Linked DNA regions of Caenorhabditis elegans. The protein of the gene in region 1 interacts with the protein of each later gene in a pairwise test. Each region holds a gene or a part of one and is shown on either strand. Other genes may lie near its edges. The genes, in order: thoc-3 and tcer-1.

Region 1 (4,545 bases):
CTGAAAATGGAAATGGTTGGCTTTCCAAAAAAGTATTTTCCACGGAATCAAGGTGAAACCAATTTTTGAGCATAATACCGAAGCTCTTCTTTTTCCAGATGTGAAGATAACACCCATATTCGTCATTATTGTTGTCGGCCACAATCTCAACTTTGCACGTGGCAGGGTGTATGGACTTCAACTGAAACATTTCAGAATATAAATTGCCAGTTTGAGCCTAATTCAGAATGTGGGAACTTATTGTGTACTGTAAGAGTAGAGTGGACTGGTTTTTTCTTCGGAAGTCCCAATTTACAGAATGGGCAACACAAAATACTGGCGGATTCTGAAGGTTTTTGTCGATCGGTGATGATGAATGGAAGATGGGGATCTGCCACGTGTGGCAAGATTTTTTCAGACAATTCTGATGAATGGTACAAGAAAATGTATTTGATTTTTAAAGATTTTCATTTATCTTGAAATTTTCAGAGATGCGTATTCGGTGATTGATGTATAGTTTGCAGTTGATTATTTTTAACTAGATAAAACGATTTTTTTAATTTATAGTATCAGATCAATTTTCGAGAACAAGAGCAAGAGAAAATAATTATGGAAAAATTTTACACGGTACTGTGTCCAAACGTTTTAACATGTGCTGCTTCCCTATTGTCCATACTATCGGAAGCAGTGTATGCAAGGAGAAGAGAGTTCGGATGCCAGGCAACTGAATAGGTCTCGCCAGTGTGTTTAATTTCGTGGCAACGTGATCCGTCTGGTACATAGGCAATATCGATTGAGTGATCTTCGGATCCAGATGCAAGAAGTTGACCATTACAAGAAAATGATACAGCTCTTATTCCGTAGTCGTGTCTGAAAGTTTTGCAGTTTTAACTTTAAAAGCATCTGAGAACAATACTTCTAATAATGGTTATGTTTCGAAGCTATGTCTATCATCCAATTTTAATTATCGTACATAAACTGTAATACATAAAAATTGATGATTTACGAAATATGATTTCAAAAAAGACGGACGGGAGTCTAGATAAATGGATTAGGTTGCAAACTTGAAAAAAAATCTCATCATTATTCGAATTTTGAGAGCATCTGCTTTCAAAAAAGTATGTTGGAGCAAAATACAAAAAATAGAAGTTGGCGAAAAATCAAAAAAAATTTATAGATTCGATTTTCGATGGAATCTCAAATATTTTGTGCTAAACTCGCAATTAATTAGTCGCACAAACGTTGGAGTAAAGCAATTCTAATATTTGAGGAAACGAATTCAAAAACTATTAAAAGCAACATTTAGCTTAAAAAGACTTGTAAAATATATTTTTTTAAATAAAATAACGTTTTAAGTATAATATATTTTTAAACATATATTTTTGCCCCAAAATACCAAAAAAAGTCCCAGTCCTGCTGCTTACCTAGGAATAACTCTTTCACAAATGAGTTCTTCAAGATCCCAAAGTGAGCAAGAAGCATCCGATGCTCCAACTGCCAATTTTCGCCCGTCTTTCGAGATCGACACTGCCAGACACTCAACTTGATGCGAATGGGCTTGAATCGAAGTCACAGGTTCAAGGGCTCCACCGGCGAACTTTAGAATTTCAACTTTTCCTCCAGACTCTGCTACGAATACGTGGTTCGACAAAGGGTGAAATGTTAGCTCGTGGGAGAAAGTTTTCATTTCATAGGACTGAAAATAATTAAATTTAAAATGTTTTGATCGTCTTTACAACTTTACAAGCAATCCTAGCAAAATCCTAAAAATCTCAAGTTGCTAAATAGCTCTTGAAACTCACATTTACAACTTGATAATTCCGAATGTCTACTGTATTTATCCGATTATCTTTGTCGAGAAATATGAAATATTCGTCACACGGAGACCAGGAGATGAAGAAATTTCCAACTGAAAGCCGATCATTTTTAGGAGTTTAAATTGTTAATTTGAAACCTCGATTTGAAATTCGATGAGTCGGTTTGCTTTGTCGAATGTCCCATACACAAATGTTTCTATCTGCACTGGCTGATGCAAATAAGTTTGGCTGCTTTTCACTACATGCTACCTGAAATAGAAATCGTTAACACCAGATGAGGAAATTTCCGATATACCTGTTCCACAGACGATGAATGACTAGAGCCCACCCAAGAAAATCTGAGACGACCTCCATCCACATTTGCAACGCTCACTTTTTTGTCGAATGCACCACATACAAGTTTTGTTCCATCACAATTAAATGCTATTGATTGGCATTGCTGGACCTGGAATAGAAAAGTAGTTTTCATTTCTAAAATTGATGAGTGGGAAAGCTTGAAATATATTATTTCTTTAGGTATACCTTCATATCGGTTGATCTGATTCTTTTGTACTTTTCAAAATATGTCGAAGCATCAGCTGCCGTTAACAGACGTGCACATCGTCGTTCTCGGGAAGACACTGTCATCTGAATTAGATTTTAATACTTTCCGAATATCATGAAATTTTATAAATAAGGTATAAAGATGGGACAAGTTAAGCCCATTTTTACCGAGAAGCAAAGAAAAATCAAATAAATGAAATACCCGATTTATTGATAAATGAAAACCCGTCGCAACTCATAAATCTAAACAATAAATCAATCATTGAGAAGCTTTGGTATAAGATTTTGATAGAAAACTTTCAACGTCAGTACATGGAGCTGGAAGTCTGTTGTATGCTATTGATCCGAACTTTATCAGGTTATTTGCTTCTTCTGCAAGATTAATATGAAAATGAGTTTATTACTATCGATTCACCTGGACAGGCGTCAACAAACTTAGGCAGAAGCGATAAAGCATGTTGAGCCACTTGAGGATTTGAATTTACAAGTGCCAAGTGATAGGAATCGAGCATCATTTGCCGTGGCTAAACTTTCAAAATTGAAATTATTGTCATTTTGATAATTCTTACACTTTGAGGATGGGCCAAGATTTTCAGACAAGCCGCAAATGCAAATTTACGAATAGGTGTCGTTCTGTGAGTTAGCAGCTGGGACACGAACTTTGGTGCTTTCGAACATCGTTCCGGATTACTTCTCTCGATTTTCTGAATTATTTCAAGCAGTTCACGATCATTTGGAGTATGCGATTGTTCGTATTCGAAGATTTGTTTGGACAGAGGGTCACTGAACAGTTATCGAATTTTTAGAGAAAACCTAATAAAAACCAACCTTATGACTTGCTGATCATTGGGAAGAAATCGAGATTGACTAGCAGCACGTCCCATCATTCGTTCATCAATATCACCCATTGTTTTTGTGTTTTATTTTTCGCTGAAATTCACAATATATTTAGATTTTATGTTTTAAAAACGACTATAAAAAAATAGTTATTTCAATTTGAATTGCAAAAAATATGATACAAAAGTACGCATTTTCGCGTGGCCGTGTTTGCGGACACAGAAAACAAACATTGGCGCGCCCGTCAAATGATTAGTGTTTACGCTTTTAAAATCATTCATTTTAAAACTTTTTCTATTCTCAGCGTATTAAAAATGGAAGATGATGCTCCAATGAATCTCTGTAATGAACAGTTCGAAGAAATTGAAGATAGTCCCATTGATGACAATGATAATGAATCATTCTGTAAGTTATTATACATGTTATGCAATTAAAATAGCTTTTTCAGACAATGCTGATGGTGATGTAGAACTCGAAGAAGAGGAAGTACACGAGACACCGAAAAACTTCAAAAATGGTGGTCGCTTCAAAACAAACATGACTAATCCAAAGGTTAATGACCTGACAACGATTGAGGAGAAAAATGAAGATTTGCGATCTGCCGCTAGCTCGCGCAGTGCGAGTCGTCCAGCCAGCGTGATGAGCGATAAGTCGTTTTCTAGTCAATTTGAGTTTCAAAGTGGTGGAGGTTAGTTTTAATCTACTTAAACCATTAATTTTGTTTCTAATTTTCAGAGAATGCCATTGAAGAATACACTAATCAGGTTTTTGCTGATGAAAACAAAGCTGACCTGCTTTTTCCTGAAACTTCAAAATTTATGAACGGAGCATCGCCGCCTAAAGACAAGCATCACTCCTGGGAGCCGTCCATACACCATTATGATAAGCAACCACCTCCCGACATTCAAACAAATTCGCCCGTCTTCGGAAACTTGAATCATCGAAAAAATAAATTGATTCCCCAAGCTAGAGCAAAGCCAGGAGCCAATGACAACGAAATCGTGGAGAGGGATAATGACGAAAATGTGCCGACAACATCTGATAAATCGGCATTTATCACATCACCGATGAATTCCACAAATCACGACGAGAAAACGAGCACTCCTAAAAGACGTGAGACTTTCAATTTAAACTTTGTTACGACAATATTTTCAGCAACTAATCGGAAAATCGGTCAATACCAAGGGCCTAATTTCGATTTATCAAGCATCTACGTTGGTAGTCCACAACACCAGAATACATCAATCTCTACGGGACAACAGATGCCGACTTCGTCTTATTCGCATGCACATTCTGAAACAATGATGACAAATCAAACTATTAATGAGTCAATGGTTCGAAGAGTGCTCAATGGAAACAATAAGAATCA
Region 2 (6,899 bases), on another chromosome or scaffold:
AATTTTTTAAATGAAAACCAACAACAATAACAATAGAGAAATCATAACAACGAAAAAACAAATCGAGTAATTTATAGAATGGTCTTGTTCAAATTGCTGTATCCTACACCAACAGCGGTAACCATAGCTTTATCGGCACTTCCTGTTTTGAGATCAGCTTCCTCTTCCTTCAATGTTTTTTTAAAGTCTTCCATTTTAAACTCGATCTCAAAAAACTGTTTGAGATGCCTGAGTGCGTGTACACTATACATTGGAAGAGGACCGTAGAGGAAGTGTGAAACATCTTTAGGACAGAGTGTCATAAATGTGCTTGCAAGTATTTGAGCACTACTGTCAAGGGCACCTCCCATGTAAATTTGTTGAAGAAGAGCATGACCGGCTTCAATTCCAATGTCTTCTGGAAGAATTGGAACTCCTGATTCGCCCTTCGGTCTTGAAATAGCTTCTGCTTGGTAGATAACACCCTCTGTCGTTTCGGCGGTTAAGAACAGACCATATCCTGGAGAAGCGCCACCAGCATCACCTTTCCGTTGATCAACAGTAATATAAACATCCGAAATGTACCCATGCATTGCTTTCTTTGCAGCGTCAATCATTCGATAAGCTAGTGAAGGTGTAACTTTAGTAACATATGCTTGACCTCGAATTTTACAAACTTTTCCGACTTGTTGTCTCTTAAATTAACATTTTGTTTGGGAAGAAACGAATAAAGTAAACTCACTTTTACTGGCCGAAGAGTTTTAACAATTGGAGCGGTAAACACGACAACACCGCCTCCTTCTGGTTTCAATCCTCGAGCTTGAATTTTGATATCAAGTTTCTCATCATTGAGCACAAATTTGTTGTAAACTTTCAACCAAGAAGCTTTCATACCATCGACTGAGATTTCACCAGGTGCGTTTGTAACTCCTTTCAATTTGATTACCATTGGAACTTTGCAGAAGGGAGAAAGCAATAGAAGAGGCTCCAAAAAGTAAGAAATGCATCTTTCGGTACCACAATCCAAATTAACAACACCGCCAGTAATCATTCCCGGTCGGAAAATGACTTGAGTACCTGTTCGACTGATTTCAACTTTAGTACCGTTCGTCACTTTCTCAAGTAGACCGATCAGTTTTGATTCGAAATCTGTAATAATATTTTATGTGATACAAGTTGATAATGAGTAGACCGACCTCTGATTCCTGGTCTATCATCATTTTTTCTGATGTTTATTATTCTGATGGGTCTTCCGCTGAGAATTGAGTACGCTAGTCTGATTCGGAAGAAATTGCATCCACTGAATTCTAGAGTTTCACTGGACATTACCTGAAAAATGTGTCCATCAGTCAAGACGAAAATTGAAGAAAAACAAGCGATTGAAAAATAACAGCATATAAATATTAAATTTATTTGAATTAAAATTCTCCAATTTGAGGATTGAGCTCAAATAGAAACTAAAAATGCTAGAGAGCAGTTTTCATTGGGAGCATATATTATCTGCAAATCAGCAAAAAATAAAGAAAACGTTTACTCGTTTTGTGTCTTAATAAATCAGTTAATTAAAAAGACTTTTTTTAAATCCTTTTAATTTTTTGTATTCATCTGCAACTGCAAAAAAAATTCCGCGAAAAAAAATAATGCAAACGCGCTCCATTGTGAGAATTCAGAGCGCGACGCGGTGTGCGACGCGGTCCTTTGCAACATATTTCGGAGCTTTTTACAACTATTTTATTTGTTTTCAGTTTACAAAGTATTATTAGGGTAAATGGGAATGACTAAATATATAAGCCAAGCAATTAACACTCTGTTATATACATAGCTGATCTTTATAGAGCTCAACTAGATATAGTTTTGAAACTTTTCGTAATTCCATTATGCTAGACTACTGTTTTTGGATTTTACTTTATGAACTGCTCTTTTTTACAGATGAGCCACGAAAATCAGGAGAACTACGATGATTATAACGGAGACCACGACAATAAATATGACCAGCAGTACGACGAATCAAGCCGAGGCGATGATTTTGGGTATGTTTTTTTTTGGTATTCTTAATTTTACGAAAACCGTAAAAATATTATTTTTCAGTGGATATGGTCGAGGAGGGTCGTCAAGGTATTATAAAATTAAATTTACATGCTCAATCTAAATAAATTATCAGTACATTTTTTCAGCGGCAGAGGTAGAGGATTTAATGGACCGCCAGGCGGTGCTGGAAGTTTTTTCGGTGTTCCCCCAGCTGCACGTGGTCGAGGTGGACCAGGGATGGCTCCTCCAGGATTCGCAGGTAGAGGTCGTGGATTTGCTACACCAGGTATGAGCAGTGGTTTTGCTCCGCGCGGTCGCGGTATGCCGCCAGGTCGTGGTGGATACATGCCTCCATACAGAGGAGGTTATGGTGTTGCACCAAATGGAGGTCCAGGAGCGTACGGAGGGCCTTATAACGGAGGTCCTGGAGCATATGGTGCTCAAGCACCAGGGCCGAATCCACAAGATCAGGAGCAACGTCTGAAGAGAGTGAGTAAATGTTCAATTGTTGAAATAGTCTAGAAACGTATACCGTATTTCTTCTATTAATATGGCTGCAATACTATTTTTCGATGGTCTTCCCGCTTGCAATACCAATAGGGAGTGCAAGACTATTAGGGAGTGCAATACTAATTTTCAGGGCCTTTTTCTGACTTTGAGCTTACTACTTTTGTTCTGAAAAAACTCGAATCTTATGTAAAAATTCAGAAAATTTGATTGAAATTGCAACAAAAAAGTTCAAAAACTTCAATCTTATAAAAATTTTCACGAAAATTGTTGAAAACGACGCAGAAAATGTTGTTAAAATCTCAAATTTAGTGAGGCGGGTTTGCACCGAAAAAAAGTAGACGCAAGACTATTAGGGAGTGCAACACTAAAAGTGAGTGCAATACTAATTTTCGGAGGGTGTTCATGGTGCAATACCAATAGGGAGTGCAAGTCTAATAGGGAGGCCATACTAATAGAAGAAATACGGTATTTCAGCTTTCGGGATGTGAAGAAGGACAAGAGTTATGGGTTGAAACTGAGACAGCTGAAGGAAAAAAGTATTTTTATCATCCAGTTAACAGGAACACAATTTGGGAGCGACCACAAAACGCTAAAATAGTCACTCAACCAGAATTGGCTCAACTCATTCATAGAGCCACGGAAGAGGAAAAGAATCGTGAAGGTATGCAATTGCATTCAACTTTTAGCATTTGATGTTTTTGATTCCATCTTTTTGCACATTTATAATTAATTTTCAGAAGGTTAAGTTTAAACCTGGCACAGAAATTTCAGATTCTTAGGTTCATCTCTCCATAAGATTATGTCGCTCTTCTAGTCGTTCCTCTTCATTGCTGTCAAAGCTGAAACGCGTTTGTTAGAAAAGTTTGATAATAAGTTTGGAAAAAAGAAACATAAAAATCAGTGGTAATAATCAAAAAGTCCGTATTGTATCACAGCCACAGGAAAAAATTGCGGAACAACTACCGATTTACGAGCTGCGAGAAGGACATTCTATGCCGTGCGAGCATCATGCCATCCACTAATGTGTAATGTCCACTTTTCTAAGTTTTCCATCAAGTCATAATAGAAAATCATCATTATCTCTTGACTATGAGATTCGGGATCCACGTAGGGGCGGTCTCTGAATATAAATTAGATTTTATTTTTCATATTTATGCCTAACATATGATTTTTTTTCAGAGCGAATGCCACATGGTCAAATCCCACAAAATCCTGATGATGCCTGGAATGAGTTTAATGCCCCGGATGGCCGGAAATACTACTTCAATTCGATAACACAAGAGAATACTTGGGAAAAACCAAAAGCTCTCATCGATCAAGAGAATGGAGGGGGAGCGTCTCCCGAACCTGTACAGTCGGCTGCTATCGCTGAAGCTCAAGCCAAAGCACAAGCGGCGCTGGCAGCTTTTATGGCTCAACAGAAAACTTCTTCCAATGGCGGAGGTGGAATGCCATTGTCTAAAGCACAAGCTTCAGGTGCAGCTGCTGCAGCTGCGGTAAACGCCGAAGCTGCTAAAAAGAAAGATTCGACTCGTCCCATTAGCAGCACTCCAGTCAGTGGAACTCCATGGTGTGTTGTTTGGACCGGTGATGACAAGGTATTCTTCTACAATCCTTCTACGAAGTGCTCTGTTTGGGAACGTCCACCAGATACATATGGACGCGAAGACGTTGACAAACTAGTTCAGAATCCTCCATCTCCAAAAGCAGAAGAAGAAAATAATCAGTCTAAAAAAGAAAGCGAGTCAGAATCTGAGTCTGATGAGGATGGTCCTCCAAAAGCTAAGAAAAGTCGAGCTGAAAAGAAGAAGGAAGCTTTGATTGCTGCTCAAAAGAAGGAGAAGGAACGTCCTCGCCAAATGCTTCAGAAACCAGTTGATCCTGCAATTGAGGCTGAGATGCAAGCTGCAAAGGAAAGAGAGAAAGTTCCATTGGAGGAGAGACTGAAACAGTTCAAGGAAATGCTCGAAGAAAAAAATGTTTCCACATCAAGCACGTTCGAGAAGGAACTTTCAAAAATTGTTTTCGACAAACGTTACCTGTCTCTTGGGGCTACTGAGCGTAGAGCTTGCTTCGATGCTTTTTGCCGGGAAAAAATTGAATCTGAGAAAGCTGAGAGAAGAAAACGGGTCAAAGAAGCAAAGGAAGAATTTCAAAAGTTACTTGCTGAGTGCGAACTCAATGGACGGTCATCGTATTCTTCATTCACTTCAAAGTTCGGAAAAGACCCTCGTTACAAAGCAGTTGAAAGAAATCGTGATAGAGAAGATGCTTTCAACGATTTTGTCGGCGAATTGCATAAGAAGGAAAAAGACGAGAAACGTGCTAAGAAAGAAAAACTGAAAGCAGCTTTTGTGAAACTTTTGGAAGAGCAGACTGGTCTCACGCGCAAATCTAAATGGTCAACCACGAAGAAAACACTTGAAGATGAAGAAAGATACATTGCTCTCGATAGTAGTTCTACCAGAGAATCTCTGTTCCGAGAATTTGTGGCGAATCTTGGAGATGAAACAGCATCGGTGAATTTATTGTCTTATTGTTTTTTTTTTTCAATTTTAAAATATCATTTTCAGGATATCGAAGAAGAGCAGGAACGTGAGAAGCGTCTTGCTGCTCAAACGGCCATTGCAAACCGTCAGAAAGAAGTTGAAGCCGAACTTGGTAATCAACTGCGAGAGCGCACAAAAGAAAGTGAGAAACAAAAGATGGGCGAACACGAGGATACCTACCGAAATCTTCTAATCGATCTGATAAAATCTACCGAAAACAGTTGGCACGAGGCTCGACGCATTCTTCGAAAAGATGAACGCTATGCAAATTGTGATATGTTGGATAAAACTCGCAAAGAGTCGCTCTTTGATGATCATATCAAAAGTTTGGAAAGAAAGCGTCGTGAGGCTTTCTTCCAAGTTCTAGATAATCATGAGAAGATCACACCAATGATGCGCTGGAGAGACGCTAAAAAAATCATTCAAGACGAGGAAGAGACTTTCGTAAAAATTGCTAGCAACTCGGAGAGGGTTTGTGATTTATTTTTAATTAAAATACTTTAACTTTATTATTTTCAGAAAGTTGAGAGAGATTTCCGAGATTGGCAGGAGAGACGGCACGATCACCTTACTGATGAATTCAAGGAGATGCTTTCTGAGACAAAAATCATCACGCATAAGTCGAAAAAATTGATGGAAGAAGGTGAACAGCACATGGATATTTTGTCAGTTCTCGAAAACGATAAGAGATGGGTGCGGATGACTGCTATGAGTGCATCAGAACGGGATCGTATGCTAGAAGATCATATTGGTAAGATAAATGCTCATAAATTGATACAGTTGATTTACATATTAATATTTCCAGAAAACTTGGGCCGCAAAGGAACACCGCCTCCACCAACACAACAAGAGCGGGATCGCAGAAAGCAATAAACACTTGATTAAGTATTTAAATTAGTTGTTGATATTCCATCTTTAATCAGATCCAATCTTCTCATTCAATCTCATCACTTTCCCGTTCTCCATCTATTTTTGTACCTGTATCCACAGTATTTTTAGCCACTTATTGTTTGTGCCTCTCATTGATTCTAAAAAGAATTACCGTATTTCTTCTATTAATATGGCTGCAATACTATTTTTCGATGGTCTTCCCGCTTGCAATACTATTAGGGAGTGCAAGTCTAATAGGGAGTGCCATACTATTTTTCAGAACATTTTTCTGTGTTGGGGCTTACTAGATTCTACTTGAAAAAACTCCAATTTTATTTGGAAGTATAGAAAATTTGATTGAAATTGCAACAAAAAGGTTTTTTTTTAACTTTTCATAATACTGGTATTTCTCTGAGAATATTTCTATGCTTGTGCATGAAAATTTAGTGATATCTTGATGGGCATACTTTGTAAAAACATGTTGAATCAAACACTTTCAGAAGTGCTATTGATTTCAGGTCCAACGATAAATTTGAGTACGGGTAGCACATGAAAACGAAATTTCCAAAAAACGCTTATTTCTCGGGAAATAGTTCAATTCTACCAAATTTTTCTTTGCAAATCTACTAATTTCTTACAATATAAAAACATTAAAAAGGTTTTCTGAATTGATAAAATTTTTAAACATTTTTGAGTACGGGTGTTTGAAAATTTGACCGAGGTGTAGAGGGGGGATTCTTTTGAATTTCTCGTTAATTTATCCTCTTCTGTCAAATATATTTACTTTTGATACTTAAGATGGACTGTGACGGGTTTTTCTTATTTTATGTGTTATTCGATTCTCCCCGATGTTCTTTTTATGTATTACTGTTTGTTTTAATTTATCGAGTTCCGAATTAACATAAATAAATAAACAATAAACTAAAAATGTACATGCAGACACGAAAATTTCCCGCAAAAATA

What was found.
Region 2: the proteins of thoc-3 (region 1) and tcer-1 interact in a two-hybrid assay, tested with the Caenorhabditis elegans proteins (one study listed by BioGRID).

Annotation. Positions count from the first base shown.
Region 1 is NC_003279.8:8,969,017-8,973,561, reverse strand, and holds thoc-3 (WD_REPEATS_REGION domain-containing protein), read right to left. Parts: upstream 2,424-4,545; coding exon 2,319-2,423; intron 2,242-2,318; coding exon 2,092-2,241; intron 2,046-2,091; coding exon 1,934-2,045; intron 1,889-1,933; coding exon 1,782-1,888; intron 1,676-1,781; coding exon 1,404-1,675; intron 850-1,403; coding exon 600-849; 3' UTR 525-599; downstream 1-524. Other genes in the region: F32H2.12 (SRCR domain-containing protein), read left to right, coding at 1-52, 99-249, 298-425, 469-496; F32H2.10 (Integrator complex subunit 1 R4 domain-containing protein), read right to left, coding at 2,599-2,711, 2,755-2,863, 2,909-3,122, 3,168-3,247; spd-2 (Spindle-defective protein 2), read left to right, coding at 3,491-3,581, 3,625-3,864, 3,912-4,289, 4,332-4,545.
Region 2 is NC_003280.10:7,045,081-7,051,979, reverse strand, and holds tcer-1 (WW domain-containing protein), read left to right. Parts: upstream 1-1,908; coding exon 1,909-2,009; intron 2,010-2,067; coding exon 2,068-2,094; intron 2,095-2,153; coding exon 2,154-2,496; intron 2,497-2,991; coding exon 2,992-3,178; coding exon of another isoform or gene 3,179-3,210; exon of another isoform or gene 3,211-3,542; intron 3,543-3,696; coding exon 3,697-5,036; intron 5,037-5,090; coding exon 5,091-5,537; intron 5,538-5,585; coding exon 5,586-5,817; intron 5,818-5,871; coding exon 5,872-5,939; 3' UTR 5,940-6,107; downstream 6,108-6,899. Other genes in the region: ZK1127.5 (putative RNA 3'-terminal phosphate cyclase-like protein), read right to left, coding at 72-674, 722-1,128, 1,176-1,305.